4 linked regions of the Caenorhabditis elegans genome follow. The protein of the gene in region 3 interacts with the protein of the main gene of each other region in a pairwise test. Each region holds a gene or a part of one and is shown on either strand. Other genes may lie near its edges.

Evidence for each region.
Region 1: the proteins of C11E4.6 (region 3) and C50F4.1 interact in a two-hybrid assay, tested with the Caenorhabditis elegans proteins (one large-scale study listed by BioGRID).
Region 2: the proteins of C11E4.6 (region 3) and twk-40 interact in a two-hybrid assay, tested with the Caenorhabditis elegans proteins (one large-scale study listed by BioGRID).
Region 4: the proteins of C11E4.6 (region 3) and ape-1 interact in a two-hybrid assay, tested with the Caenorhabditis elegans proteins (one large-scale study listed by BioGRID).

The regions. Positions count from the first base shown.
Region 1 is NC_003283.11:9,523,384-9,530,591, reverse strand, and holds C50F4.1 (CHK kinase-like domain-containing protein), read right to left. Parts: upstream 3,800-7,208; 5' UTR 3,748-3,799; coding exon 3,646-3,747; intron 2,783-3,645; coding exon 2,162-2,782; intron 2,073-2,161; coding exon 1,983-2,072; intron 1,914-1,982; coding exon 1,804-1,913; intron 1,623-1,803; coding exon 1,457-1,622; 3' UTR 1,342-1,456; downstream 1-1,341. Other genes in the region: C50F4.10 (non-specific serine/threonine protein kinase), read left to right, coding at 67-396, 453-542; C50F4.9 (Cocaine- and amphetamine-regulated transcript protein), read left to right, coding at 6,393-6,474, 6,927-7,076, 7,131-7,208.
Region 2 is NC_003281.10:13,484,265-13,491,854, forward strand, and holds twk-40 (Potassium channel domain-containing protein), read right to left. Parts: upstream 5,241-7,590; coding exon 5,127-5,240; intron 4,931-5,126; coding exon 4,699-4,930; intron 4,208-4,698; coding exon 4,089-4,207; intron 4,008-4,088; coding exon 3,808-4,007; intron 3,762-3,807; coding exon 3,671-3,761; intron 3,278-3,670; coding exon 3,045-3,277; intron 2,910-3,044; coding exon 2,840-2,909; intron 2,801-2,839; coding exon 2,640-2,800; intron 2,470-2,639; coding exon 2,379-2,469; downstream 1-2,378.
Region 3 is NC_003284.9:9,607,801-9,617,987, reverse strand, and holds C11E4.6 (ANK_REP_REGION domain-containing protein), read right to left. Parts: upstream 7,426-10,187; 5' UTR 7,413-7,425; coding exon 7,288-7,412; intron 7,241-7,287; coding exon 6,901-7,240; intron 6,711-6,900; coding exon 6,480-6,710; intron 5,965-6,479; coding exon 5,616-5,964; intron 5,501-5,615; coding exon 5,186-5,500; intron 5,138-5,185; coding exon 4,826-5,137; intron 4,778-4,825; coding exon 4,649-4,777; intron 4,411-4,648; coding exon 3,890-4,410; intron 3,468-3,889; coding exon 3,297-3,467; intron 3,227-3,296; coding exon 3,004-3,226; intron 2,899-3,003; coding exon 2,768-2,898; intron 2,644-2,767; coding exon 2,498-2,643; intron 2,443-2,497; coding exon 2,199-2,442; intron 1,715-2,198; coding exon 1,580-1,714; intron 1,537-1,579; coding exon 1,396-1,536; 3' UTR 943-1,395; downstream 1-942. Other genes in the region: C11E4.7 (PID domain-containing protein), read right to left, coding at 1-326, 621-741.
Region 4 is NC_003283.11:11,673,456-11,680,982, reverse strand, and holds the start of ape-1 (Apoptotic enhancer 1 protein), read right to left. Parts: upstream 5,046-7,527; 5' UTR 5,022-5,045; coding exon 4,962-5,021; intron 4,728-4,961; coding exon 4,596-4,727; intron 2,989-4,595; exon of another isoform or gene 2,784-2,988; intron 1,271-2,783; exon of another isoform or gene 1,063-1,270; intron 859-1,062; exon of another isoform or gene 712-858; intron 500-711; exon of another isoform or gene 367-499; intron 1-366. UniProt on the Caenorhabditis elegans protein: Negetively regulates apoptosis via its interaction with cep-1.

The sequences.
Region 1 (7,208 bases), on a different chromosome or scaffold from region 3:
TTCGGCTTTTTGAGACAAGTGAAAAGCAAAAATCATTTGAACTCTGAAGAATCATAACTTTTTCAGAATCAAATGAGAAAACCTCGTGACAATGTTGAATTCCGTGGAACCGTTCGATATGCTTCATTGAATTGTCATCAACTGCAAGAACTGAATAGAAAAGATGATTTAGAATCAGCTTTCTACGTTATCGTTGAAATGATCACTGGACAACTTCCATGGAAAGGTCTTCCAGATGGTGCTGCAGTTGCACGAGTCAAGCAACAAAGTCGTCACCCATCAGCAATCGCTCTTTTCTTGAGAGCACCTTGTCCGATGGAAGAACTTCGTGAAGTGATGATTCTCATTGATTCCTACAATTATTTCACAGCTCCCGATTATGTTAATATCTGCAACGTATGGTTTTATTTACAATTGTTAAGCATTGTTTCTGTAAAATCCTAATATTTTAGATTCTCCGTCGGGCAATGCGCAGAAGTCCTCAACCGGAACATCCTTATGATTGGGAACAGGGAGGAACTAATTCACTTGGAGACGTGTAACTACATCCTCTCGATATTCTCGAATAAAGATTGTGACAATTACTATACATTCAAATACTCTGAAAAGATTTTATTTTCAAAGAAATGTGCGAATTTATGGTGTGATATTTTTCTATCATTAATTTCTTGATCAACTGCCAAAAGATGTTTGGATACAAACATCTCTTCAAAATCTGCTATAGATGTACCAAGTGCTGAAACTCTTCATCTGAAACTTTCGGATGCTGCATTTTTTGTTCTATTTTCAACATATTTTCAATATAATTATTTACAATATTATTTACAATAAGCATTTTATTGTAAACCGTACGCTGAGTAGCCCCAAGTTTCTAAAACATATATCAGATCTTGAATAACGAGATGTCTGACAACTGATGATTCATGAACTACCCACATAACATTATCTCCTCCCGCCTGACCTAACTGTCCTGTTAACAAACTTTCGTTCCTATTTATTCTTCTTGTTTCTATCCCTCTTATTCAGTGTATTGTATTTATGATCTATTATGTGTACATTTTTCTTTTTTCTTCAACTTTTTCCACGTCTCTTCGCGAGCGTAAATAAATAAATTAAGTAATTAATATCTATTTACAATATAATTTATAAATAGTATATTGCTATTTATATATTGTAATATGAACATCTTCTTACATAATTTAATTTGAAAGAAATGTTCTGATTTTCTCGAAGACACCCAATCCCTTTTTTAAGCAAGCTTCAAGTGTTTTCTCACACGTCATACATTTATTATTTTGTCGTCCGTATATCTACGTTGTCAAGAGATGCATCTTTCCGTTCTTGTATTGAAGATTTATTCATTCGTCACCAAGAAAAAACGACCAATCTTTATTTTTGAATTCGGTCATTTATTCTCGATTCTTTGAAAAAAAAAGCAAATACGTTATCTTATTCTTCAATCATCATTCTCTTTTTGTGAGAGAAATGGGTGCTCATTATCCGAAATGTAGTTTCCAGTCAAGAAATCTACAGTATCATTCAACGCTGTCTCCCATCGACGTGCAGCATCTTGTTTGACGTCATCCGAACCTTCACTCAGTGTAAAAAGTAGAGACTCGATTCTGGAAATGATTAGAAATTTTATTTAATGGGACTAGTGTTCTGAAAATTTGGGGCAACCTAAAATGCCTTGAAAAATTATTTTCTTGAAAATCCGGTAAAACACTATTTTATAAAAAATATCAAAAGTACGACAACTTTTTGGTCTTTTAAAACATTTGAAAATTTGAAACCTAAACTCACCCATTGATTAGAACTGTAGGTTGATATTCCTGGAACCATCTTTTCAAATCATGCAGTTGATACTTTGGTGGGTAATAGTCAACAAGTGCATAAAAATAGACTTGAAATATCTAAAATTAAAACAAATTACATCAAAAACATCTGGTGCTCTGCCGTTCCCATAAGACTCTCGAACCCACTTTCATGAACTTTTTTCGTCGAATGTCGACATCTGCAGATGAAACAATCAAATTTGCTAAATCCTCCACTGGATTTCCAAGATGAATGTTCTAAATTAATTAGGTTTTCGTTGTTGAAAGATCAAAAGTAAAAATTATAGTAGAACGCAGTTTTTTCTATTTTAAAAATAATTACGTACTTCCCATTCTGTGATCTCTACCAAATTCCCATCCTCATCAAATCTGCAAATCTCAGCTGTCAATCTTCCATGTGCGATAACATTATGTTTTTCCTTTTCATCTGCATCTTCATCTTTCCAATCTTCCAAGTAATGAGTCAAAATTCCAACTTTTTCAATAACTGAGGATGGATTCATGAAGTAGTCTGCAACTTCTGTAGTAGTTACTGCTGTTTCCAACACTTCAATCAATTCTTTTTGAATTTTCTTTTTGAATGATATGATGTTTCCATAATTTTCTTGCACATTGAGTGAGAATTGTTTATTGATAGTTTTTGAGTTGACAGCGTGTAACTTTGCAATCTGTGAGGCAACTTGTTCCAATTCTGGTAATCCCAATTTGGTACGAACACTTCCTTTCTTCAAAAATTGAGTAACATAGACAGAATGTTTGTTTTCATCTTCCGTCACAACAAACGATCGATTAAAATGTGCACTTGGAATAGGAATCTTCTCAAACGTTGATATCTCATGCCAGAAAAGTGAATTGTAGTAGGCGGCAAGCTTGCTTCCTTCCTCTAGTTTCACTATAACATCTTGATCATCTCTCACCAAATGCACTCGGAAGAGGCCCTCCGCTGTCTAAAACCAGAAAACGATGATATTCTAGAAGGGCGGGAGAAAGAAATTGGCCTCATTCAAAGGTCATTCAGTATCACATTTTGGCACATTTCTTTCGAATTTGGAACAATTTCGTAGAAAGTTTAAATCTAATCCTAATACTATACTTCCAATATTTTAATTATTTTTTTTTGTTTCAACCGTATTGAGTTCAATTTTGAAAAACTTGTTTATTTAACAATATTTCCGTTTTCTTATCAGTAAAACAGGCAGTTAAAAATTTCCACAAAAAACGTCATTAGAAAATGAAACGACTTGAACGAAATTTCCTTATAACCGGAATAATCTTTGTGCTCATTTAACTCCCAATATAATACACTCCATCCAAAAACACAAACATGAAGTATTAATTTTAAAGAGGTAATATGGAATTAAAAAACATGAAAGCTTTGTACGAAGACAAAACATTGGAAAGTAATTCGTACTAGCACCTTTAAAAGTGAAGTTCAAAGATAATTTCACAAGCAACATTTTCGAAAATTTTTGAAATTAAACATTAAAAATTGTCTAAAAATATCTTAATCTAGCGTTGACGGTTTTTTCTAATCGTTGAAAATAATAGTCAGATTAAGAGAGTCGACAATGTAACGTATACGATTTTGGCATCATATTTGCAATATTTAAAAAATTTGCAAAATCCTTTTAAAATTTGAGCCATTAAAAAAACTAACAGTAATAGGAGTTACAATAATTTTATAGTACTTGATATCTGTAGTACATTTAAATTTTGAGTTAAAAGTTTTTGAGATTTTTGCAATGCCCTCAAATAGTTCCTATTGGTTTAATATATGAGTTTTCAACTATGAACTAATTTATAAAGTTACCTCTAACTCCACGGTTGTGACACCATTGATAGTGACAGTAGGATTAAGTTCTTTAACTCGAGACAATCCAAGTTCCTTTGCAATTAATGCAGTGATGAACATAATAACTTCTCTGTGAATCAACCAACAATGCCAACACTGATATGTCCTTCTTCTGAAAATGCAAAGAAAAAAGGGAGGAGAGGGAGCAGGTGGACGAGGTCTTGTTATCAGTGATAAAAAATGCGGGAGAAAAAAGCGAAGAGAATCGAAACTAATGACACTGTCCCGTTTATGACTTTGATGATGGGCGACGACAATACTTGCATATTTTGTGTTTCGTAGAGCAAATAACATTTGCAAACACATTTTATAGCAATGAAAAAGAAGAGGGAGTGAGTCACGAGCTGAAATTTTGAACGAAGATCATAGGTGGTAGGTACTTTGCTAATGTGGTAACCATTTGAAACTGATATTTATCCGAAAATTATGAAGTGGGCGGCACAATTCTGGACGTAGGATATCGGATATCAAACTAGTGGGTGGCTGAAATGAAGACGAATTTAAAATTTAAAGTTCACGTTCGAAGACATATAGGACATCTGCCAAGTTGGCACTACATGTATCACATTAAGTTTTCAGAAAAATTGCGATATTTTCTCTCTAGGCTTGCTTCATGTAATCGAGTTTGAAATCTTCTTTCATATTTGTTTCTGGTTTCAATCTTACTGGCTAATATTATTATCAAATCAGTAATAATTTGGCGAATTTTGAGCTAGGTTTATATTCAATTTATACTGGAATAATTATTTTGAATCGTAATGTTGTTTGTGTAACGGTTTGTAAGCTTATAATTTGGAAAATCCTTGAAATTTTTCGTTGGGTAAATCCGCGCTAATTTTTTACCCCGCGCAAAAAAGTTCAAAAGTTCAGAATTGAGGCCTTTCCATTTTACATGTGATTTCCTAAACTCTAAAAATAATTCCAAAATTAATTTTAAGGAAATTTGAAAACAATAACCTCAGGACACATTTAAATTATTGTTTTCATCCGTATAGAATTGAAAAAAATCATTTTCATAAATACCTATTTTCGAATTAACGTTTTGTTTTCGTGCGTACTTTAATGTTCTTTCAATAGCCCATTTCATCCTTGCTCCGGTTGAGTTGACGAACGCCTTCAAAATGAGCCATAATTGAGAGCATTACTTTTTGATGCATTTTATTTTCCATTAAATGTTGTTTCTCTTTTTGTTGCGTTGTGCAGAACAATAAAAATACAAAACAATAATTTAACTTTCGATCCAATTAAAATTATTTTTTTTAGAAAACCAAAAATATTGATTCGATATAACGCTGTCTTAAAAAAAAATCTTATGAACAAAAACTTCATCTGAATTTCTTTTTCGTATTGTTTTGTTAAGAAACTGAAAAAAAGTTGTTTTTTTCCAAATCGAGGCAACTCTTGTTTTATCAATATCAGTTCATAATCTCTTCCCTTTTGTAAGTGGTAAATAAGAGTTTCTGTTTGTTTTATAGTATTAAATCACTCATAAATTGATACTAAGTAATCTTCCTTTAAAACTATTTTTGATGCCGCATTGAATATTTTTTATTCTGAATATTTCAGAAAAAAAGTTGCCATCTAAAAATATATCTAGTATTTTTAGGAACTTTAAGAAGTGCGACTTTGAAATGTGAATGATTTCAGACTTATCATGAAAAAGTGCTTAACTCGGTAGAATTTCCAGCCTGTTAATCAAAAAGTCACGCATCATTTGACCCATCCGATTGTTTGATTTTAGCCACTCCCTTTCTAGCATTTTAAAAATGCTTCATGACACTCAACTGACTCAATACGTCAACCCATTTCCTTCTCCTCCCACTCAACAAGTCAAAACAATTTTTGTGCATCACGAACAACCACCTCCTTGTTTGGTAACATCATGACGTTTGAAATGCTTTCACCTTTACAAATTTGCATGACACTCTCTTTGAATACTTTGGGTGTTTAAACCTAAACAGCTTATATTCTTTGAGAAGGCATCAATTGGTCATTCTTCAAATTCCTTGCTCCTCTAAGCATTGTTTCCTGTTGCAAAAACCGTGAGCAGCAGAATACAGTTAATGTTTTATTTGATAAAATTATTGCAGTCTAATTATTTCTTTATCAAAATTACTATTTGAAAAATTACTACAAAATTACTATCCTGTTTTTAGAATAATTATCATTTGGTAGTTACAAAACAATCAATAATTCTTTTTTCAATTATATTGGTTGTAATTGAACTGATGTATTATCCGAACAAATAAATAAATCTTAGGTTATAACTAAAAATATACTAAACCAACATTTTTTTGAAGTACAGATACTACATAAGTTCTATATAAACTAAAATAAAGACTACGTATAATTGTACTTTAATCGAAAATGTGTTCATCTTCAGTATACGTTCAACTATAGTTTTAGTTTTTATACGTTCCTCTATGTTCCGCCCATTACTCTCGAAGTCTTAAAAGTTTTTTAATCTTTGTCTCCGTACATATATCCTTATATCTCAGCGTGGGTGGAGATATTTGGATATTCTTCTCAAGAATCACCAACAAAGATTAATTTCCTTTTTGTTCTTTTTAAGAAATGTCAGCTCCCCTCAGTTCCTTATTGACATTGAATTATGACCTTACATTTTTGCACCTTCAGCCATAATTTTTATTCTTTCAGCCTTTGTATATAATTTCGCTATTGGTTTAAAATCATTTACTTTACAGATGAAACTTCTCGTGTTGTGCATTCTTATCACAATATCTTCATCGCTTTTTATCGAAGATTCAAGAATTAATGAGATCGAGTGTAAGTACTTCAAAGAATCATGAAACTTAAACGAATGCATTCCCATTGGGTTGTTTTTATTTTTCGGTTTTTTTTGTTGAAAATTGAACGTCACTGAATACCATATTCCAACCCTGAAAGATTTGAAATTGAAAAACAAACTAAATTGGTGAACTTTTTAAAAACATATCCGAAAACAGTTTTGGCGCTTTGGTAGTGCCTACGACTGACAAATAGACTAACCATGACGTCTTTTTTCACCCGATTCTGGAAGATCCGAAGCCTGTTTTTTCTCAAATTTTTTTTCTTGAACAACTGGGCATCGAAACCGGAAAATTTGGAGAGCGGAAGAAAACTAAAACTCCAAAAATAACACTCGGAAAACCGAAGATTTGGTTTTGACAGCCCTACCTAAAACAAATGAAGTGATTCTTGAATGTCTTTCTTACAGAAAATGGGAAAATTCATTTCAGGTTCAATCGTTGCTATTCTGACCGATCAAATTGAAGAAAGTACGGCCTGTAATCTGAAGCATCTGCTCAGAAATGATCCACTTTTCAAGCCACTCATTCAAACTAATGTGCACAAAAAGAGAAGCGCCTATGAAATCATTGGAGTACACAGTAAGTATTCAATTTTAATACTTCAAGCAAAAAGCTAAAATTGGAAGTTTTCAGCATGCGAGGAGAATGAGCCATGCAGAATCGGGAGAACTCGTTCATGCTTGTGCCAAGAAGATTTTGTATGTGACAAAA
Region 2 (7,590 bases), on a different chromosome or scaffold from region 3:
AATAGACAATTATTGACAAGTTAGGTTTTTTTTCAATCCCGGGGCATTTATTGAAAAATAGGTCATTGATGAAAAAGTTAGGCCATTGATGAAAATTCAGGAATTCCTTATCATTTTTGAAAAATTTCAGCATAATCGGCAATTAAAACCTAAATTTTTCAAAAACCCGCCAACTCAAAGCGATGAAAAACAAAATGAAGGAAAAGAAGACAACGAAGGCCATCGTCAACGTGTGTTCCCCGGGGAAACCAGAGATGCCCGTTGGGCTCACGGAGCTCCGAAAGGGAGAAGATGGGCGGTGCAAATAGAGAAGAGTGAGGGGAAGATATCCTCTTTTTCGGAAGAAAAAAGAAGAAAAAGATGGCAGATTTTACGTTTCTTCTTCTTTTTGGAGTCGAAGAGAAGGAGAAAGGGATGGAGTACGGAATTTTTGATTTGAACACACACACAATTTTGGGAGAAAATTTATAGGACGAAGAGACGGAGATAATTTTGGCGAAAAATTCAGGTATTTTTACATTTTCTGAAAAATGTTCCGGGAGACTCACAATTTGAATTTCCTACCAAAGTTATTTTTTGTTAAAATTTGGAAATATGAATTTCCTGCCAATTAACAATATTTTAACGACTACATTGTACATTTGTAGCAAAATTTGTACGAAGACTGGAATTTTTTTTCCCGCAAAAATTATTTGAAAAAATATTGTCTTTAGTTAATTTGGGCGGGAATTTTAATTTCCCCAAAAAGTTTTGGATGAGAAATCGTCAGTTTCAAAATTTTTTGAGTTATTTTGTTTTTGAGTTTGAGTTGTCAAGCATGTCTGTAAAAAAATAACAAAAATTGAAAAGCCAAAAGCCAAAAACTGAAAAATAAAATACTGGAGAGTTAGAAAAACAAAAAAGTGGCGGAATTGATTACTACTGTGGGAATTTTTTTTTTGTTTTCCTTATATGAGAAACTTATACTGCGGCCCAAAAATTTGTCTGAAATTTTAATTAAATTCAATTTTCCAACTGATATATCATATATAAAATTTTCAAATAATTTTTGCTGAATGCTTAAAACTTTAATTGTTACGGTAAAAAAATTGGACGAAAAACTCAAAAGTATTTATTTTTATTTTATGCTTAAAACTAAAACTCAAATCTAAAACTTTCTTTTTAAAAATTTTGTTTCAAATTTCCAAATTTTTTCCAAACCAACCGAAACAAAGAACATAAGAAAAAGGACGAAACAAAAAAAAATTAGAGCACAAATTTCATTTCCAAATTTGCCAAAAGTATATCTGACGGGGGCCCTTTCTTTTCTAAAAAAGGGGATACAAATGTACAAACAGAAGACGAAGAAAATCGAGAAAACCGGGAGGAAGAAGTCGTGACTCTCTATTTTTCCTCGTCGCGTTTCGGGAATTGGATTTTCTCCCAGCTAAATTTGGGCGGGTGGCCGGAAGAAAAAACCGAAGAGGACGGGGAAGATTTTGGTGTACTGCTGAAACTCACTGACCATTCGAAATTCACCGTCGACTCAAAAATTTGTCGAACCTCTATCTGAACATTTTTAGTGAAAGTTACAATCCACTTCTTGTAATATGTTCCTATAAATGCTAAAAAAATCGGATATACCTATGTAGTTGAAAAAAACTGAAAAAATTTGAAGAAATGTTAAATTATTGAAGTGCATTTCATTACTGGGTTTGGGAAATCTTTGATAAAAAATGCAGACCAAATTTTGCCAGAGAACTTAATATCTTCAAAAATCCACAACTATATGATGTTCTAGTACCTATTTAGACTTGCATAACCACAAGAATAACATGGAAAATGACACTAATTAGTGTGTCAAACGGGGAGGAAGAGCATGTCCCCTTCTTCATTTTCTTTAGAGAGAAACACTAATTACTTTTATGGGGGAGCTGTTGAAGAGCAAACGCAATTCGTTGAAATTTCAGAATCAGATATGGTGAAGATTGGAAAATGATAGGGCTTCTCAGATAAACAAGAAAAAACAATTAAATGCTTTTTTTGAAGTCCCGGCACAAAACCCTAAAGTACCTCAAAAATGTTTCTACATTGTTAAAAATCGCTCTAAATTTCCAGTTTATCTAACAAAAATTCAGCTTAAACTTACAGCAATCTTTGAAAAAGTATAGTCATGGCAAGCTTGAATAGTTTTTTAACCTTCCGTACCTCATACAGTACCCGCGTTTTTGTTGCTGGACCCAAAGGCAACCTAACTTGATGCAACATATTTTGAACTTTGAAAATACTTTATGTATTTATTAAATTGAAAAATTTAGATTTATTTTCATGTTAAAAAATTAATTAAAAAACACCCGTTAAAACAAAAAAAAAACAAACACAATTAATCTAAAAATAAGTTAAACATGAACTTCTTGAGTTCTTCCAGTGAGAATTGACCATAGCGATTGCCAACTTTCAATTGAGGCCAATGCTCCAAAATCGATAAATCTGGAAATTTACGAGTTTTCAAAATATTTCAGATATCAAAACTTATCAGAGTAAATACCAAATGAATATTTGAAATATTTAATTTGTAACTGAACTGTTATACGAATCTAGATATACAAAAATTTAAATTGATTTTTCTTTTTATTAAGAAAAAAACCGAGTCCTCTCACCGTATTTTGCTCAGATCCTTTGGAGCATAAGCTCCCTTGACAATTATTGTGTCATGGGTCTTCTTTTGGCCATACTTTTGTTGTAGAACACTCGCATATCTCATTAAATCCGGCACGTGAACCATCTTCCCGCCGACGTTTACCAAAGCAAATCGGGCGTCCTAGAAAATTTTAGTAGGACTAAAAATTTAGCTTCTTACCTTAATAGCTCTTCCGAAGTAATGCATTTTCCGAATATACTGAATTCCAACCAAATCGATACACATCGTGCTGGAAATTTTTTGTTGGTACTACCTATATAAAATAACGCAACTGGCAAAAATTTTCAACGATTTGAAATTTGTCAACTACAAACTACAGTTTTTTTGAGACTCGAGGCACTAATAGCCAAAATCACAAACTTACGTAATCGATAATCCAATAATAATATAGCATAAGTCTAAAATATAATATTCCCGTTTCAATGGTACTATATCACCAAATCCGACAGTCGTCATTGTAATAAAGCTAAAGTAGAATCCAGAGAAGAAATCCCATCCTTCCCACATACTCAGAACAACTGCTCCAAATGTTATGTAGCTGAGTAGTATCGCCACAATTAGGAATATAGGAATCGAGATGTAGTTTTCCAAATGATCCTTAAAAAGTTCTAATTGGAAAGTGTTCGAGGGTGAAGTGGTCGATTGTTTTGGTTATTTTGGTGTTTTTGGCAAAAATGAATTTTTTGGATGTTTTTTTTTAGTTTTTTGTTCAGACCAAAAAAGAAAAAAAAACAAAATGTTTTGTTTTTTTTTCAAGTTTTTTTTTTGGTTTACTGGAGAAATTGAATTTTTTGTAGAAGCTGAAAGATGGGCAAGTTGCCGGTGATTAGCGGGCGGTTTTATCGCTCGTTTTTTTTTCCGAATTTTAAAAATGTACCCGATATTGGCTGATTTCAAAAGTATACTCGAAATGTACTTATTAATTTCAAAAAATGTTTGCCTGTTTTTGCCCATTTTAACCACTACTAGACCATTTTTAGACCCTCTTACCAGATTCAGGTCCCCTTCCTTATTCTTATCGTCCTTACTGGAAATGACACTGTATTTTTGTTTTGAGCACTTTTCCCGAAGCTTTCGGTACCTGAATTTCGGATTTTTAAAAAAGTTTTCAAAAAAAAGTGTCTCACCAAGTATACAATTGAACAATATTTTCAGATAAAAACTTTCCGATATCGGCAACAGTTATAAGGATCAGTGGGACACCGAAAAGTGCGTATAGGATGCAGAGCAATTTTCCTCTTCCGGTTACTGGGGTCAAGTTACCGTAACCAATAGTCGTGAGGAGAGTTGTAGTGAAAAATAAAGCTGTCATGTAGGTCCAATTGTACTGAAATTTAAAAATTGAGTTTGTGAAACTTAAACACAGTGCAAATTCAATTTCAGATAAACATTTCAGACTCCAACTCACGTCTTCATCCTCTCCGCCGGGTCTCAGATGCTTAGCTCCTATACAATGGGTGTCAAATGCCTCGAAAAGAATGCGAGTGACGTTGTCTACGTATTTTACAGCCAGATCCTCCACCACGTCTGGAAATTTCGATGATTTTTAGAGATAATGAAAACGATGGAACATTTAATTTGGAAAGTTCCAAGAAAAGTCGGTAATAATGCAGATTTTTTTTGAAAAAGCAATAAATTTGAAAAAAAACCCAAAAAAATTTGTTCATATATTTTCAACAATTCTGAAAATTTCCAAAAAATATTGATTAATTGCAACCGTCCTTTTAAAGTATATAGATAATTTGGAAAAAGTCTGCTCCAATAACATTGTTTAGTTCCCGAAAGAGTACACAATAATGTTTGAACAACCCTAAAAACTCAATAATTTTGAAAATATATTTATACTTAAAAAAAAAAGAAATGTCGAAAATATCAAATCTTAAAAATTATTTGAATATTTACGTTTTCAGAAAAAATTACGTAATAATTTTAATTTGAGAAAATCAATAAATTTTAAAAGCTTCAAAAATCGATTTTACCTATTGCTAAAATTCAAAATTCTAGTCTAAAAAACTTACGTTGTCCAATACCGCTTTCCCTCATCTCCCATAAATGTTCAATCATTTGTCGTTTGTGAATATTGAACCTTTCGATATTCCTAGCTCGAACTTCAACTTCATTCGGTTGCTCCAACTGATAGAAGAGAAACGCTCCAAATCCAACATAGACAACCGACAAGACAATAAGACTGACGTGAGCGAGGATTATCCGGGCGTAGGTTTTCCATGTTGCCATTGGGCGAGAGGTTATCTGGAAAAAATGATGTGAAAAAAGTTCGAGATTTTGAACCCCGATCGCAAGTTTACAAAATACCGCGTTGCCAATCCAAAGGGATTCAAATTTTGCAAAAAAGCGTGTACCGAGAAAAAAACCAGACAAGCTAATATTTCTACGTTTTGATTGAATATTCATAAAAACATTCATAAAAATCATATATAATCAATACATCATTCTCGTTCTGATCCTGCTCTCTGCGATGATAATGTCGTTGATGCATTGGTCGGGTGAACATCCCGACCCGTCCGGGGGTATAAGGTAGATGAGAGGTGACGAATGGCATCTAAATCGGAGAGATTTGGGAATTGTGAAAGTGAAACTACAGAAGTTCATACAAAGGTTGGTCTTACCAACATTCCTCATAAGGAAAATTTCGATGGGCCTGCCTAAATTTGTATTTCAAACAAAATTGAAGTTTTTTATAAATGGAAATGCATCTTGTGAAGTTGTGCAAAACTTAAAAAATAAAAAAAAAAGTTTTTAGCAGACCCGAAACGAAAACCGAAACCATAAAGTGCGGGGGAAATTGAAATTTTTTTTCAAGAACGAAAATTATTAAAATTTCAACATTTTTTTTACAACTATACAAATTTTATGCTAAACTATTCGTTATGTCCTATACAACGTCGAAAAAGTGTCAAAAAAGGTCATAAAACTCGGACGGGGTGCGAATTGCCTTACCCCTCCATCAATGGCTGGGACGAAGCCAGAAATGAGTTTTCTGTTTCTTTTTAGCATTGAGCCGAACAATAACAACACTCTTGGGACATTTTGATGAATTTCATCGCCCAACGAAAAAAGAACACGATGAGAAGTCTCATGGGGGGCGGAGCGCGAGAAAATGGCTCAAAATTTTGGAGCGAATTTTTTTGAAATTTTTTATGGTAAGTAGCTTTGCAAATGGATTATTTAATTGCAAAGAGAAATATGAATGAAATTTTAAACGAATGAATATTGAATTATTGAAGTTTTAAAAAAATTTTTCAATTTTTCTTAAAAACATGTTTGGAACTAATTTTGAAATTTCAAAATGTTTTACTTGACTCATTTGTGGAAAAAAGTTTTCCGAAAAAAAAATTAAATGTCGAAAAACGTTTGAATTAAAATTTTCAGAGCATAAAAGTGTACCCAAAATTTTCAGAAATCGAGGTGCTGAAGAAAGCTTCTAATGTTTTGAATTTTCCGAAAAAAAAATCAAACATTTCAAAAACAAATTCAAAAAACTCAAAAATAAATTTCAATATAAAAACTAAAAATTCATTTCGGAAACTACGATAGAAGTAATATTTTGGAAAACTGTTTTTTGTTGAAAATCTTTTTAAAAACCTTGTTTTTTTTTTGAAAACTGCTAAAATAACTGTTAAAATACTTTCTGCCAAAAACTAATCAAAGATAGTACAAAACTGACCACGGCAGTAAGGCCCAAAAAACAAAAGGAGAGGGGGAAGCTTAGGGAAACGGGCGGTGCCAAATCAAATTTGCACAAACAAAAACATTTTCCTGCCTAAATTTTCTTATTTAATAAGAAAAACTTGTCTTCCTTTTTTTCGAAAAAAGTTGGTAAAAATATATAACTTACGTGCATTTTTTTCCTGATTTATGAATTGACAAACTTTCAAAAAAAAAAGTTTTTGAAATTTTTTTTCTCTTTCTTGGAAATGTTCCAAAAGTATACCAAAATTGAGTGAATCGGGAAGTAGAATATGAGACGAAGTTTCTTAAAAACGTTTGCTCATCATCATCATCCGGAAAAGCTCAGTTTTTGGAAAAAGGTCCCTCGAGGGAGGCGAATGGGAGGCAATATTTCACGCGGACTCACTTTTGAGATGGAGGACAGCCGAACTTTTGCAACAGGCGGAAGGATATACATGAAAATAGTCAAAAACAGAAAAAATGTTTGGAAAAACGTAAAAAGTCCAAAAAAAAAAGTAGAAAAATTAACACCGGGGCGCTTGCGGGCAGATACCATAACAAGCAACCGTTGTCATTTAACAAACTTTTGATAACTTTTGGTAAATTTTATGCAATTTTTGACAAATCTGTGGAATACTCTAAAATCATCAACAGGTTTAAGTAACTTTCGCCAATGATTATAGCTAGGTAATATCAGGAAGTTTTAGTGAAGTTCTTAGAGTTGATTTTTTTTGCGAACACTGCAACCCTTGGCTCTTATGAAGACTTTTTGACAGTTTAAAAAATTTAGAGAATTCCAGGGGATTTTCCAAACTTTCGGCAACTTTAATTTTATCTTAACATATCGTGAAACCCTTTACCGTGCCCTACAAAAAGAGGTAATTTCTCACCTAATTCCGTGTGGATAGCCGAAAAAGTGATCTGCTAATCTCCTGAAGAGCTCTGTCACTTTTCATTTCTCTACTCTCTACTCTCTATTTTCCACAGAAAGTTTATTTGATGGGTCCGTCGCGTCTCACACACACCCCACAACTACTCAGTCAATTTCCAAATTAATCCCTACCCCCTTCTCGTGTGTGCTCCGGCTCATTTGTGGACACCCAAAATTGGAAAATTGACTAGGATCAGCCGGGCGCAAATTGTACCATTCAGGTGGGTGTTGAGAAGGGAGTTCGAGCGGTAGGCAAGGGAGCTTCAGAGATATGAAGGTGCGCTCCAAG
Region 3 (10,187 bases):
ATTCATCCAATCATTAAACACGTGCTTTGGATGTTTGGTCTGTTGAATTGAAGGTGCGGAAATGATTGGAATTGATGGAACTGGATGCGACATATTCTCCATACAAATTCTTTTTTCAGGCTGTGGTTTTTCATTAAATATTTTTCGTTTTTGAAAATTCTCTTCAACTTGATGACTGAATGAAGGTAAAAAACAAGACGATGAAGAGATGTGGGGAGTTATTTTAGTTGCAGTATTAAGACTTGAAATTGAGGACATCAGCTTGTTTATGTCCAAAGTATGCAAACTATGGCATTGTGGGCACGAAGTTGGAAGCAATGTCAATCCTGCAAGACTGATCTCCGGATTCGTAGTCACACAAAATTTGTGTTGTTGTAAGAAATTATTCAAATTAATTCAGGGCCTTTCGCTAAACACATTTAAAGTTGAAAAAAAACATTCATTAAACAAATTTCTCAATATTTGTTGTTTGGCATGAAACGTGAAAATTTTTTTGAGCATTTTCTTTTCAAACCGATTTTATCTACGGTTACCTAATAAGTTTGAAATTTTTCTATTAACATTTTAACAATAATTATGAGAAATTGGAATATAGAAAATTCTCTAATAAAAACTAATACCTGAAATTAACGATATTGACACTGATGGTCCAGGGGACGATGTTATAACGGATGGTGCATTTCTAATATTCGTATCCATTGAAGAAAGTCCAAGTCCTTTCACGTCATAAAGTTCGTTCATGGATGCATTCATGAAAAAATGCAACCGTTCCGCCTTCCCTTCCTCTATTTATTTAATTCGAAAAGGGAGGGGTTCATCCTTGCTTTTTCTGTTCCTGCACTCGGTTCAGTTTTATCTTCTCCTGCCAATCTTTTTGAAAGAATCACAAAACGACGGCACCCCCTATGGCCCTTTGATGGGCAAAAAAAAAACACATCTTTTGTGGTGAAAAATGTATCTAAAACTGATGGGAACAATTCATTATGGACAAAAAAATTGAAGGGTTTTTGGAAAAAAACGATAGGATAGAATCGAGAAAGGTTGATGTGATGTGAGGGGTTGATGAAACCAATACGTAAGATCAGCAGAATACTGTTTATTGATCACTTTGTATGGTTTGAAATCGCTAAAAGAAAATTAAGTTGTTGGGAAAACAAGAATAGAAAGAACATCAAACAACGGAATGCACTTTTGAAGAGCTAGAATTAAAACATTTCCGGGTAAGGAAGACATCGGGTTAGGAAATTAAATTGAAAACAACTTTCAATAAGGTTTTTAAAAATTAAGTAAAGTTACACGTAACAAAAGCCAATCTCATCTACTTATGGCTGAAATTCAGATATACTGGGATCAATGGTAATAATTATTCTTTGGAATTTGACCGATATGCTGGATTTAATTTCTTTGGTTCTCAGTAGTTTGCTGACTGTTATGCCGGCATCGTACCATTGTTCCTTCGATTGGCAGAGACTTGTCCATTCTGCTTCTGAGCTCAAACATCATTCCGATTGTGGTGATGATTTCTGCGGCAATTCCCTAGAAATATGAACTTTTCTAAGGCATTATTTGTGCGAAATACCGAGGTCAGCACACAGAAAGTGTGACAAAAGAAACGATTTTCAGTGTCCCTTGCAACAAAGCAGAAGAAGTTGAGATCCTTTCTATCCTGACATACGACTCTTATTGTATAGACACCATAGCCGTCAAGTAGAGTCTAAAAAATCATTGAGATTAATCGGGGGGCAAGTTTGTCAACGCTTCGGATTTTCTAATCAAATTAATATTGCGGGTGGTCTTTTGTGGCCTACAGCTGATATCCGATTGCGGCGAATTTCCTAGACTAGTCAAAAAACGTCTCAACCTCTAACGTCTGCTGAGAAAATACAATTGATAAAATTGATAAACACAAACAAAATATGAATTCTCGGTTCGAGAAATATGATGTTCTATTTCTAAAATCCAATTTCCGAAATACCATACGATTAAAATATCTTTGTGTTTTTTTCACATCGTATAAGTATATTTCATAAGTAATCAGATTTTATGAAATACTTTCACGTCATAACTTTCCTGCAACGAATGCAGGTGTATCAGTCGTTAAATTATTGTTTCCCGACCCCCTTATTCTTTAACCGCTTCTCAGTTCTGCTGAACTTTTACAATTTGTCAATTCCATTAGGTGATAATTTAATCATTACCTTAAAAGTTTCATCGAAGATAGTGATTCCATTGCAAGTCAAATCCAAAGTAACCCGTGGAATAGTCTCCCAGTCAATTATCGACTCTTTGATTCTTGTCATAGCTGCATGAGCTTCATCAGAGCATTCGGTTTCTCCAATTTCCAGAACACCGAGGTGGTGTGCACGATACACCACGTTGCCCTGCAGCAACTTGTTCTTGATCTTGTCAAAATCGCCTTGTGGGCATTCAGCACAGTTGTTTCTGAAACTTGTTGAATGTTTGTTCTTTTGAAAATTATTTCTCATTAAAAACTTACTGTTTTGACCTTGGCGGCAGAGGAGGAGGTGACATTAATGGCTTAATCTGTAGTCGATTATTGTACTCTTTTCTTTTTTCGTCTTCTGCTTTTTTGAACGAATGGAGCATTCTAGCAATGTGACCAGGACGAGTAACACCGAGTTGCTGAAATTAAAAATATGCAACAATTATCACAGGTCTATGGATATTTTTTGATTAATAAACGCGAAATCAGTGATAAAAAGTATCTTAAAATCACAAAAGTTGTTATTTGAACAAATTTACTCACCATCAATCTTGCCGTGTCCCAGTCAATTTCTGTCAATTTTGCCATATGCTTGTATCCTGCACCGACAAAGTTGGAAATGTAATCTTGAAGTCCGATGAAGTTGAGCCATTCACTAACATAGAAGAAACGTCCTGGAATTGAAAAGTGATTTGAAAAATTGATGAAGGTTTCTTAAAATGTTCCGGCAGAGTAAATGTGTTTTATGAATGTGTTTTATGTTTCAAAAAAAAACCAACCAGCACTAGCAACATCATCCTTCAATTTCTCAATCTCTGACATTATCTTGAACTTGGTGACGTCATCTACTCCGATTTCCGTAAGGATACTTCTATTTATTATCCCTTTTAGTTGATCCATTCTATCATATCCATGAGTTTGAAGAAGTGCTCCAACTGAATCAGCCGCTACTGGGGCTAACATAACATCACTTTCCAACCACTCAATTATTGTTTTTGGTTGCTGAAACATGAACAACCGGTGTAAAACGTGACATGAATGGAAGTTGAAACAAAAATGTAACTAAAAGTACCTTTTTTACAAGAAGCGACTTGTGATCTCTGAACTCATCCTCGACAAGTGTTACGCTCAACGCTTTCGACCCACGATCACGTAAGTAAACTGCCACACGTGGCTCGTATTCACGAACAAAAACACTTTCACGACATGGAGCTGCACCAAACGAATCGAATACACTTTCCACCTGTTATACAAAAAATTAACAAAGTTTCACTGACACTTTTTTCAAATTTGAAATTATAGAATTGACATTTAAATCGTTTTTTGTTGTTTAATGCTGATAATCCAAAAACGCACAAACGTTTAGGCGCTGCCGTTATTTTTTACTGCGTTTTATTCCCGCTACCCAGCTTTGCAAATACACAAAAAAGACTGACCTATTACAGTTTTTCTGGCTCTGTATTTCAAATACACCGTAAGAATTAAGCCCGCACAGCGAGTGCAGGTTTTTATCATTAAAAAAAACTTCTGATCTGTTTTTCTTTACATTAACAATAGCTGACTATTGAGAAACTGTTGAGAAACATAAAATCCGTGTGCTTTTTGCAGATACGCCATTGTTACGAAAAAATAAACAAAAATTGGTTTGTCCCCTGATCGACTTACCCTATCCCAACTAGGTTCTTCACTGGTCGTGTCTGATTTCTGGTCTGATGAGGGGGACGACAAATTATCTGTGGGTGAAAGTGAATTCAGCATAAGGTTCGTTGTTCCATTTTGACGGCGGATTCGGACAGGCTCTTCCGGCTCAGTGAAACTGCTATTCATCTGCACCTTCGACGTTGATTCAGTGCTTCTGTGGCTCAAATTTGACGATGACGAGAATCCAGAGAAGAAATCAACATTTGTAGAGTCAACCAGCCGAGATTTTCCACATAACGCGTCAAAGATGAATGCTTTAGAGGTGTTTGGGGAAGGTGGGCTCTCGGCAGAGTTTGATGATGGTCTCATCACGTCTTCTAAAAAAATTGCAGTCACATTGTTGTCTTTCTCATAATTCCCATTTAGATGTTGATTCGCATTTCCTTGGCTGTAAATGACACTGCCTGTCACTGAACCTGTTATTTCTTCTGGCATTGCCAATGGTGCACGGCCGTTATCACGTTCGCGTTCCCGGAAGAACTTATCTGAAATTGCATTTATTTAGATTGACTTCAGGACTCCATAAGTTTAGGAAATGATTTTTTCCTTGTCATTGACCAAAGTTTTTTTTCAGAGTTAACAAGATACCGAGCATGAGATCAGTGTTGGAAGATTCGTTTTCTCATAATCTACCCGAACTTATCAACTCGTACATCATATGCTAGAAATTTTTTAGGTTGTCGTATGCCCCTAAATCATTCCATTTTTGCTTAAAATGCCTACCTTTGTCAAGTGTCGAGCACGCGTATGTCAAGGATGATGTTATGCTGCTTGCTCTGGTGTCCAGTCTTGGACTTTGCGTCAATCCCAGCGATTCTTCACGATCACACGTAGTTCGGGAAATAGAAAACTCTTAAAAGTCTTTATTTTATATTAATTAGAGTCGTTTCCTATACTTACGGTTCCGATTCAATGACCTATCCATTGTTTTGTCTGGGTCTTGAATAAAGGCGTCATTCAGGTCAGGACGACCATGATCTGGAATTCTTGGAGAGTAGGTGGCAAGTTTTGGAAGTGTTGCGTATCCGGATTGTCTACGGAGTGATGCAGATCTTGCTATTGGTGAGTTGGGGCGGACGAATATTGCAGAGTTGTTCGGAACGTTGTCATATGGTGCTGGCGGACGATTGCTAATGGTCAGTTGACTCTTTTGCCATTCATTGAATTTTGAAGGAGAGTTGTATGCACAATTATCTCCCGGGAGTACAGAAGCTGAAAATAAAGTCAATCCGTAAACTCAGAATATCGATAATAGATTACCTATTTGCTTTTCTGTTGGCCTCGTTCTAACATTTTTCAGCCTCGTTGGCAATGTATCGCTGGATCTTTGACACGAATAATGCTTTGAGTGATAACTAGGCGATGTCAACGGGAACCTTCCAGTTCTTGGAGCTCTGTCTAACATGGAACTGTTCCATGTACGATTGATAGAGTGTGTGGTGTAAGGCCCCTCTGATCGAACACTGTTCAAAGCTTCTGTAGAGTCGTCGGGGGATAAATCTCGCAGTCTTGCAGAAATAGAAGGTGGCTGGTAGATGGAATGATTGTTTCTTCGTTGATCCGGGTATACTTGAACTGAAATCGTGAATAACTTTATTTATCATTCAGATTTTGAACTTTGAGCTTAACTCGATTGATAACCGAAATGTTCCTTACAATGCACATATTATTAGTTTTAAAAATAACCCACCGCTTGCTTGACTTGGAAGTGGTTGCCAAATTGCTTCTCTTTCATTGTCACTTTGACTTCCTTCGGTTTCTCTTCCAGAGTCTCTTCTATCCATTCCTTCGATAATTGTTCTACATTCCTTCCATCCTTCCGGATTTTTTACAAAATGGGCGATTTCATTCCTTCGGTTCTCCTGGAGATCGATGATCATTTGGAGCACTGTTTGTCCGTGTTGATTTTTGATATCAGTGTTCACGCCAATTTCCAGCAGAAACCTGACTGCCTCGGCCTGTCCACAAGCAGAAGCCACATGTAGAGCTGTCCCATCTTCCGTAGTGTAGTTAATGGAGAAACCATGTTCACGAAGAGCCTGAAATTAAACATTTAGTACATTTTTCATTTAAGTGAAACAGTAAATTATTTGATTGGGTTTGTTTAACTAAAAAAATCTACAGAACATATGAGTCTTATAAACCTATGATTAAACTACAAAAATACAAATAATAAATAGTAGTGTTTCAAAATATTTACTACAGAAAATATAGTTTTTTTTGTTGGAAAACCGCAAACACCGTGACGCATAAGTGCACAGTCAAAAAAATATCTGTTGAGTGTTTATATTTCAAACTAAACGTTTTTTGGGATGAGTTATGAAAATGAAATCATAAGCATGTTACTATCGAATCTATTTCGAATTTCAAATTTGTAAACATTGTACAAACTTGCAGATTCATATGAAACACGCCTATCAGAAAATTAACCCCGTTTTTTTGCTATTCTCAAATTGCTACCAACATTCACGCAAGGAGTAAACTATTCTGCATCACCCTTACTCTTATACTCAATTCTTGAATAATGAATAGCAAAGTGGAAAAAGCAACTCACTTGCATGCACTCAACGTGATTATACTTTGCTGCAAGGTGAAATGGGTATATGGCCGGAAAGGGCCGTTTTATGTCCGGTGTTCCAACTCGAAGAGACTCATATGCTGACTGCACAGGAAACTTTGGCCATTTTTGGCACAACATTCTGATGGCTTCAGCAGATCCAATGCGTGATGCAACGTCAATCACATTTTCCTTGTTTTCATTACGAATGAAGGGGTCGGCATTTTTCTGAAATTTAAGGAAATTGAAACGATACGTGATTTTTCAAGCTAACAATTGTTAAATCTGTCAACAATTTAATCTCTATACAAGAATCAAACGTCAAACGCATTGCAAAATTGAATAACTTATTATAGATATGAATGTTGTTCCTGTTCACAGTCGAATAGTTTTAATTCTCAAAGTTATCTTTGCTTACCTTTATCAAATAGAACACAACTTCAAGATGACATCTCTGAACTGCAAGATGAAGTGGAGTTTCATTGAAAATGTTCACTGCATTCAGAATATCTGCGGGCTTTTCCATTGTTTGTAAAAGAAGCATTTTCACAATCTCCAAGTTCCCATTCCAGGCGGCCAAGTGAATTGGTAAAATATTTTTTGTACTTTTACACAGTAAAAGAAGTGGTTCGTAGTCCATAAGGAGTTTACTGATTTGATTTTGATTCTCGAGAACCGCATGATGGAGTAAGGTGAAGTCAGATTTTTCATCTTTGTAGTCGGCGAGCCAATGACTGTCTGATCGCGTTGTGAAAAATCTGAAAAATATCAATAGTTTATTTGAAAATTAGAAAATAAGTATTACTTCAGCCCGCTTCGAATCTTTTTGCCCTTTTTCGAGCTGAGAAACAACGCAACTTTATCATATTCTCCTTTTTTACAAGCATCGATTACTTCGGTTTTTGATATGACAAAGTCTTTGAGGCTCATTTCATCTGAGCTCCTGTAAAATGATCGATTCAGAATTTAATTTAGGACAAAAGAGAAAGCAGATGTTCATGTCAAAAAACAAAAAGAAAAGTAGGAAACAAAAAAGACGGATAGAATATAGGAGAAAGAACAGATTTTGTGAACACATATAGTTTTTTGTCTTAATCTTGTTTACTTTCTCTTTTTGAGATGTAGTTGTATTTTGCTACTCAAGGGGTCCACAAGAAGTAGTAATGCATAAAAAGATAGGAAATGCGAAATATGTAGAAAAAGGGAGTGTTGTAGATGAAAAGCAAGGGGGTCCCCGGGTTTCCTCCCGCGCGAAGAATGCCTCGTAATGTATTGCATTTTACTCGCTTTTCACCAAAATCTCGACAAGAGTGGTGAAAGCAGGGTGATGGGAATAGGAAGGGCGCAATGTGGATGGCCGGTCACTCACAACTCCACAAAACTACACATTCTTTTCTCCTCTTCTTCTTTGCAATTTTTGTCGGTCTAGGAGTGCATTGGATGCAACAACAACAACAAAGAATATAACTACAGCTAATACTACTAATGGTCAATGTAGGAAAAAAAAGTTTAATAGTAGCTTATGGAAAATTGAGTTCGAGTTGTAGTCATCAAGGATATTCTTAGGTGAAAAATTATAGTGAAGATTTTCCTCATATTATCAGCTCTTTGCGAGTTTACATCTAAAATGTACCACTAGAACAAGATACCTTTTATAAACTGCAATGGCTCTCACGAAAAGTTGTCGGATATGTTCTTAAAAAATGATAATTATAGTTTTAACGAATTTCGTGTCAATTCTTCAACAAAAAAACATAGCGTCCAACAATTTAACTGAATTACAAAAAATAAAAATAAAACATGATGGTGACAAAACACTTTTCCAAATTTGCCAGCTGAATTAATATGAATTCCATTTAGAAAATTATTACTTAATAGCTATAGTCAATATGGCAACATTTTTCAAGGTGATTTTAACCGATTTTTCCTAATTTAAATAATTCAGCTGTTTTACATGTTAGAATCCTTAACTTCGCTGAATAAACTTTATATTCATATGTACTATGATCAGTGATGGGTGCACATTACATTTAACTTCTGACTAAGAAAAAATTTTTTGAACAAAAACCAACTCTATGCATCTGAGAAGGTTCTCCTCGAATAATCAGATAAATTCAATTAGAACTAGTGAGCACATGCGGAGGAGGCTGTGCACTTTTCAAAATAGCCTCAAACAACAAAAACATAATAGCACAGGATACACGGTCGATGCTTAAATTGAAGTTAATAATCGTTGACTTAAACATATACGACAAAAAAGATAATGACATGCTGCAAATCGAGAGGAAAAGAAAAAGAGATAAAAGCACTTATGAAGTGCAGTAAAGGGAAGATAAAGGGTGGAAATTGAGAGGAGAAGGTGGAAGGAAGGAAGAATGATAAACCCGTGCTGTTAAGTTGTAATAAGTGTTTCCAACGTGTTGCATATGTAGGTGAATAATAAACACATATCACTTCAAACATCTAAAATTGCGTTGAGGATTTAGTTTCCAATGTGATTTAAAAAAAAAATTGATTATTTCTGCTCACTTTCTACAGAAAAATTGTCCTTATGTTAATCAAAATAAAAATTAGACAAGTAAAAATTGAAAACCACAAATGTATGAAAAATGTTATCAAAAAAACTATAGTGAGGCGGTTCAGATATGCGATTTCGTAGTTTTCCAAATATTTTATATTAAATCCCCAAGTTCGAAGTTTTAAAAACTGAGATTTTTCAAAAAACTTTTGGAACTGTTTCGTTGTTCACACCGCACATTAAAAAATCTTTGGCTTACAATTTCAACCGTACACCATATATTAAATAATATATTTATTTAAAAATATTTTTAACTTAATTAACTCCCACGAAAAGTTTTGGTTATATCATTTGCATTTTTAAAAAAGAGTGTATTAACCAGTTGAAAAGTTGGGTGTTCAAAACAAAGGTATAAATATAGCATTTCAAAGTTCTTTTAGCTCAATCCAGTTATTCCTAAATATTTGAGATGCGAGAAGAATACATTGAAATAATATATCTAATCTATCAAAATAAAAAGTTGACGTGTGATTTTGAACGGGACCGCGGAAACATGGCATGATTGGAAGAGATATGTCAAGAAAAACGCACATCCATCCATCTTTTTTCTTCCCCTTATCACCTAGCGCTTTCACTTCTCCCCCATTTTTTCGCCAATTATCACCTCCGTGCTAAATCAACCTATCTTCTGTTTTGATATCTCTTCTTGTCCTCAATTCATTTGATTAGAAAATGTGGAAGACGAGGAATGAGGTAGGGCAGGTCGTGCAAATAAATCCTAAACTTTTGTTACAGCATGAAGCATCAGATTTTCAATGCATAAACAAGTAGAAACTAGATGTGATATGTATAAAGATAGAGAATGAAATGATGATGGTGTGATGACCCATCACACAAATGTGACACGAATAATAGTATTCATAATGACTATGACGACTTTTTCAGTTCAGTGCATATTTTTCCGCTAACTGGTAATTGGTAGGTGTATGAGAACCGTGTCGATATAGAGAGGTGAAGTATAATGGAAGAACAATAAGATGTCTCTATGGTTACTTTATAGTGAAATTCAAAACAAAAGCCAACTTTTGAGTAACTTGACAAAGGAAATTGTGAATTTGAGATCATTACTTATATATAAAAAAATAGTGTGGGTCTGTCTATAGTTTGTAGTCTATGTAGTCTTTGTA
Region 4 (7,527 bases), on a different chromosome or scaffold from region 3:
AGAGAGAGAGAAAACGAGGAGAAAGCGAACTTTTTACGACCACTCTCCCTCTCATAAATTTGTCTTCATGTTTTAAGCCATTATATTATCAAAGTCCATCGACTTCTCGACTGTTACGTCAGAAACGTCGATTAGAACCAGAAAAAAAGGACAAAACAGCCACGACGAAACGGAGGAAACAGAATTGAAAATTTGTGAACTAAACTAGGACAGGACGACTTTGACACGCTTCATCACCTTTAGACCTAGTAGCATCGTCTTGCGTAATCGCCCGAGGAAATCGGCGACAACGAGGAGATGTTTGAAGAAAAAAGGACCCAGAAGTTTTATTATTACCTCCTCCTCTTCCTCATCTCTTTCCGTCTCCTTACTTTTTATTCCCCCGTTTCTCCAGCTTTTGCGACCACATGCGCGCCGCGCATATCTCCTCTATCTATATTCCCTATCGTTTGTGGACAGACGCAGATTCGCGTTGCGACGTTGCTGCAAAAGTCAACGCTAAGCCAAACAACAGGTTTACGAACAGTGTGAAGCCATTGCCAATAAGAGAGATGATGATAGAGAAAAATAACTGTGAATACATGCGTTTCAAATTGAAACTGTTTCAATTGGTATTACCTATGGCGAACAATAATAGCATGTGCTGAGCAGCTAAAAAACAAAAGGAATAGTAAGAAATGGAAGAGTGAGAAATGTTTGAGAATGACCAGAGGACTCAAGTCAAAAAGATTGCGCGAAGCGATAGAGACCTTCCTCTTCTTTTTTTGGTGGTAGTAGTTTGTTTCGGGACGAAGACGAGAAACGGCGTCCCGTCCCATAAACCTCTATTATATTCCAACAGGAAGATGAAAAGGGTGTGAGCTATTTAACCAATAGTTTACAACTAACAATTATATTGTAAAACTGTGGAAACTATGCCTTATGTAAACTTGAAGAAATCAAATCGAATTAAATGGATGTATGAGTTAACTTCAACATCAATAATTATTGATGAGTGTGAACGGTGCAGAGCACAGTGTGGGTAATGACGGTGAGTTGGAGGTTCTACAGTGCCGCCATCGGAGCTTGCCGACGCGCGCACGGAAAGCGTAAAAAACAGTCGGCAAGACTCTACGAGACATAAATATCGTTTCTATTGGTGGGCAGCGGCCGCACGTGGTCTCTCGCGGCTTGTTGTCGAGACAATCAAAACAATAAGAAAACAGTAGGAGACGGCACACGGCTCACTATAGGAAGCACTCGAGAAATCGAGATCTATATTGCGAAAAGTATCGGAAGTACGGGAATCAAGCACAGATAGTTGAGCGTCATGATCTGATCTTTCAGTGGAAATCGAGTGTTAATGATCAAGAGCAAGAATATTATATATATAAAATGGCTAAATTTGTTAAATTCTAGGATCTATTTGGAATACGAATTTGACAGGTGCAGAAATTAATATCCCTGAATCAGAAAGAGCCCGTGAGATAATTATTGGATTTAGAGAGTCTATCAGTTATTGGTAACTGTACACTAGGTAATGTTTCAGAGTAAAAATGAGGCAAAAAGAGAAATAGAATGAAATTTGAATTAGTCTATGAAACATGAACCTATTTAAATTATCAATTTGATAATTTCAAACAAAGATTAATATTTCAAATATATTCTCCTTTTCGACAAGAAGCTTCTTTGATAGGATAAAAAGCTCAGCAGGAGGCCCTACGATGGGAAGGAACGTGTATTTTGGAACAAAGTGTGGATCGTTGTCGTTGTCTTCGTGCTGGTGGTGTTCTGTTCAATTGAAAATCCCGAAAGTGAAACATGTCGTAAATGTTGTGTCTATGCGCCCTCATGATGATCTGACGAACTTCTCGCACAAAATTAATAATGAAGTAGAAGAAAGAGTGAATTAAAAATTAATTCAAAACAAACGAAAGACGCTTTTGAACAAACTATTGAGGAATTTAGCAAACATAAAATAATAGAAGAAAATCTGTTTTGATTTTAATTTCTACGACAGTCACCGACAATTCGCATTAAATCGCATACCAAACTGAGGCGATTCGGACAACGATTGTGTTGATGGTTGTTGGTGTATTGAAAAGCATGAAACTAAGCTGAATGTATTTAACGGAATAGAAAAAGGATTCAACTGGTCGACGAAAAGTTACAGAATGAAAAAGTAAATGTCAAAACTTCAACACTTCAAACCTATGCAAGAGATGACTTTTATATTACTTAAATCGGTTTCCCTTTCAATTGGATCAGATGTGGTAATAAGAAAAAAGTCGTGTTGGCGAACGGAAGATAAAAAAAAACAAGTGTTTTCAAAATGATGATATCACATGTCACATTTTAGCTTTAGAACTCTTTCGGGCCACCGGAAGAGAAATGAACATTAAACACCGGAAGAGAGTAAAGAAAAATTTCGGCGAACCAAACATGTATCCCATTTTGACCGATCAAAAAAAAATGTTTTACTTAAATGAAGCGATTCTCAAAATTTCTAATCAGTTTTTTTTCAAGAATATTTTAAAGAGTATGGCATTATTTGTAGTGGCTGCCACCATAGAATAGTATCTTCTGTCATAAAATACTACAACAACAATCATTGAACAGTCACCGACAGCCTCGCGAAGATGAAAAAATACTTTACAATTGTAGAATAATAACGCTTAACACGTAATACATATCATTATGCATAATGACTTGACGACAGTCTCGATTACACTACAAGAAAAAAAATAACATCTATAACTTTATGCGACTCTACGACGACAACATAGAAAGATGATGGAATTGAAAGAGAAGAAGCCGAGAGAAGCGTACGCTCACACACGCGTTCACTCACACAATTGCGCAATTAATTTAGTTGTAATACGCGTTGCCGACGTGCGCAAGACTATGCAACGATGAGAAGGAAGTGAGTGAAAAGTGAAAAAAAAAAACAAAATTTATAATCGAAAATTAATCGACTGACCAGTTTTTTTTTGGCGATCTTTCCTTCACAGCCACAGATTTTTTTTGATAAAATAATTAAACAAAAATAAAACAGTTGTTGTCTATTATCAACAAAAAATATTCGTGTACGCTAGAGGAGGAACTTTTTTTTACTTTTTAATATTCACGAAGAGCTTTTGGCCAGTGGGTCAAGAAAATAAAAATAGAAGAGAATTAAAATGAAGAAATAAGTCGGAGAATCCAATATAGGGGAAAGCTTGAATGATAAATCGAGGTTAATCGGCAAGGCGCGTACGGCGTACGCACACGAATACTTCGTCTATCTTTCTGTGTCTCTCTTCAAAGGTCAGACTTTCTGTTACGAGAGAAGAAGAAAATGAAGATGATGAGAAAATTGTTTCAATTTCGTGGAGGGCAAAAGTAAGAAGGGGAGAACGCCAATTGGCATCTTCTTTCAATTGACCGATCCACGAAGAGCACTCACTACTATCAATGATATGTGGTGATTAGGTACCGAAAGATAAAAAAGAGAAATTTTTAAACTAAAAGTGGTCGTGAACCTATGGAAAGACTATTTATCATCAGGAATTTGAATTTTTATATTGACTAAACTATTTTATGAAAATGTTTTTGATAATCTTAAAGGAGGATTTCGAAAAATGGGGATACATTTTTAGAAAACTCTGAAAATTCCAATTTACTGAAATACCACGAAAGAAAAAAGAAAAAATTACTAAAGATCAAAAATTCCAACTTTGAAAAGTGTGAATTTACATATCTCGAAGCCACACCCAGTTTCGAACCAATCAGCGTCTTCGTCTGATTGGTAAAAAAGTGGGCGGAGCGAAATGCTGATTGATCGCAGTTTTATTTTTGGAGGAAATTAAAATAGGGAAAAAATTGAAAAAGAGCGTTTTTGAAAATTGGAATTTTTGATCTTTCTTAATTTTTTCTATTTTTCTTTTGGGAAATTTCAGTTTGTAGGCATATTCCGAGTATTCTGGAACTGAATCAAAAATTTACTGATTTTATTTCCATCAAAAATTTACTTGATTGGTATAAATTTTTCCGAATCAATCTCGATCAACTAAAAAAAGCAAGTCATTTTGATCCATCTGAAGGTATCACGCGAGACTAATAATCTCTGATGCATTCCTATCCGTTTCTGATCTTCGACAATCTTAACCAATTCAAACCAGGACCTATCTTAAAATATAATATTTTTATCATTATTTTATGGCGATTGTGATGCGTTGATGTCTGCCTACCTGACTTATGGCCCGGCAGAAAAAAAAAAACAAAACGTGACACTTCAAATCAAAATTAGATGACTTTTTTCTACGCTAAGATACGCTATTGAGGTGTTCTCTCCTTTTCTGACTATCTTTTTTTGGGAAGGTGATGATACAATTGCGTGAGATGCAAAAATTCAAAGAATTCCGTTACTCTCCCCGCAAAAAAACTACAAATTATCAGAACCTAGCCATCATCCATCAAACGGATTGTTGAGATGAAGGGAGAAACCAATTGAATTATATGAAGAATTTCCGTTATCGAGTTTTCTTTTTCAATTTTTTCTAATAAAATCTTAATAGCATTTCCGTTTCTTGAAAATTTTGTTCCGCATTTTTTCATTTCAAACAAAAAAAACTAACTCGTTGATTTGCGGAGATGAACGGAGCCGTCGAAGATTTATGAGCCATCGTAGATGCCATTGATGACGTCGGACGGTATATTGGGGCAGTTGAAACAGTTCGTACAGAATCCGACGAGTGAATCAGAGACACCTGGAATATGAAAAATGGATAATCGTCAAACATCTGCTAATCTAACAGTAGACCTTAAATATTTTTTGAAAAATTTTTATCGACACTGAAATTTTTATTTTTAGATTTTTTTTTAAACAAATTATGATTTCGTCACAGTTCACGTACTTCATGAATCACGTGAATATAAGATTTACAAAAATAGATCAATCCCTTTTTGTAACAATTTGAAAAATAATTAATCTCGATTCTCACCTGTGTGACACCGTTGTTTGCCGGGTACCCTATACCCCCTCCGCTACTGGTCGTGACCATCTCGTTGAGAACTGAGATCTGAAAATGGAGGGAAGATTAGTATAATTTTGTTTGAAAGGATTGAGAGAAAATGACAAAGAGCAAACGTGAATCGTAATACTGAACTTTTCTTTAAAAAATCCAAAATTGTCTAAAATTCAGAAATGCCACAGAAGAAGAACGAATAAAATCGAAGAACAACGAAAAATTGAATTTTTAAATTTTGGCTAAATTCCATGCTTGAATTTCCAAAATGAGAATTTCGACCGTTTTTTTTCGTGAAATTTATGACAATTTTCAATTTTTCAAAATAAAAACAAACTTCTTTTAATTTTTCACATTAACACGGTGGTTTGAAGATATTATAGAACAAAAATAATATTTCACCGCCATTAAAAATGATCAAAGAGGAATTGAACCATTGAAACAGAAAAATCAGGAGAGAGTCCAAAAACATAACAATGAAAATTATCAAGTAGCCGTGTTATTATAGTTTTCTGTATCTAATTACGAATTATTATCATTTCGTAATAATACCGTTTAATCAGTGATAAGGTGTTAATAACTTACATATGAAATTTTGCTGAAACTTCAAACTTGCTGATAAAACGCCTCACATGCTAAAAACGTAAAAAAGAACGAGCCGTAACAAAAATAACGAAGAGAAGGAGGACCTGCGATTGAATGATCAGAGGAGCGCGCGCGCAAGGGAGCGTATGCATGTGTTGGTTCGAAAGATGACGACGAGCCAAAGTAAACACGGCCTCTTAGATATTGGGGTCGTCCCTCTGTGCCTCTCTCTATTCGCTTCGTTTATTATCAACAAACTTTTCTTATTTCTCACAGTCTCGTACCACATATCTTCAAAAAGAGACTTGGCACAATGCCAAAACGGCTTTCGGTGTAGAATGAGAGATACACAGACATTGAAAAAGAGATCGGGGACATCAACCTTGAAATGGATCACCGGTTGATTAACGACCAAAAATAGGAGAAGAACACCGGTAAATGTGGGTTGCTAGTTATGGTCCGTAAAAAGTGAAGTTGCGAAAAATTATTTTTCTGATGATCAAATCGTTGACAATTGAGCGAAAATGGGGGCAGAAGTAGAAGAGTGCATGATGAATAGAGGAAGGAAGAGGTCCACTTGAAATAATTCCGAAAGTGGCCTATTCAGTCGAGAATTGGCTGCTTCGGAAGCAGAACAAGCACAAAAGAGTGGAAGGAAGAGGAGAAAACTCAATTTCGACAAATTCTTTCTCTTGTCACTAACGAAACTCGAATGGTCATCAGGAAACGAAAAGGAAAAAGTAAAAATGTTCCGGTTCTTTTAATTCAGGATTTTATTTTGAGTTTTTAAAATAGGTTCGCGGTAGAGAAAATTTTTTTTAATTGCATCGATTATATAAAATTACAAATCAAGTTTGTCCAAATGAAAAGAACATCATTGTTTTGTTCGCTACAAGGAGAAAACTAGAAGCGAATTGGAGCTTTTGCTCCCGCACATTTCAATTGTTTGAAGTGGGAACAAGAAGAGTGCACTTTCTATTGGAAATGTGCTCAATGATTGTTTTTCTTTGTCAATAACTTAAAAGTAAATTGAAAGCCGTTTAAATATTTTAAGTAAAAATTAAAATTCAGAGTTCCTTATCCAAAATAAACAAAAAAAAGGTAGAAAGAAGGAAGCTGGCTGAACCAATTTCTCATACGGACCGTTCGACCGTTCGGGCGTGTCAACGATGTGAGTACAGGAATGGAGGGACGGAAAAGGTGAGCACGGGAGTGCATTAGAGAGAAGATACGCAGAATGAAAAGGCACATGAGAGACATAGTTGATTGAAGAGACGCAGAGCATAATCGGTTCTGTTGAATACAGGCAAAAGAAAAGGATATTTGTGTGCGTTTGTTGTGAGGGCAAGAAGGTCAGAGGAGAGCGACCGTTATTCTAATGAGAGAGAGTGACTAGGAAGACAGAAGAGACGGAGAGAGGGAAATATGAAAATACGTCATTTCTGAACTGATCGCCGGAAATGATTGAAATATTGCGCTATAGGTGAGATCTTTATCACAGAAAGCGAAAGCTAGACATCCAAAAAGTAAATACCTTCGGCGCTCTTTTCTCCTGCGAAACGAGCGAGCTCATCGTTTTGCCCACAAGGGTGCGGAAAACTTTTTCTTTCGGTTTTTTCGCCGAAAAGGGAGAAAAAAAAATGTGTGATGAACAATTCGTGTTTGTCTTCCAGCGATCAGTGTGACGAAAAGAAAAACTGAGAAAACAGCTGGTTTCAGTATTCAAAAGATGTATTGTTTAAATTTCACTGTGAAATAAAGAAAACACAGTAGGAAACGACTGAAATCTGATATTTTTACGTTAAAAACTATAAAATTGAAGAAGTTGGGATTATTGAAAGCCACTAAATAACAAAAAATCGGGAAAAATCATGAGAGAAAAGAAAAAGAAAAACAAGAACAAGAAGAAAATGAACAACACGCCGCCGGAACAGTAGCACGTTTTAAAGCCGCACTC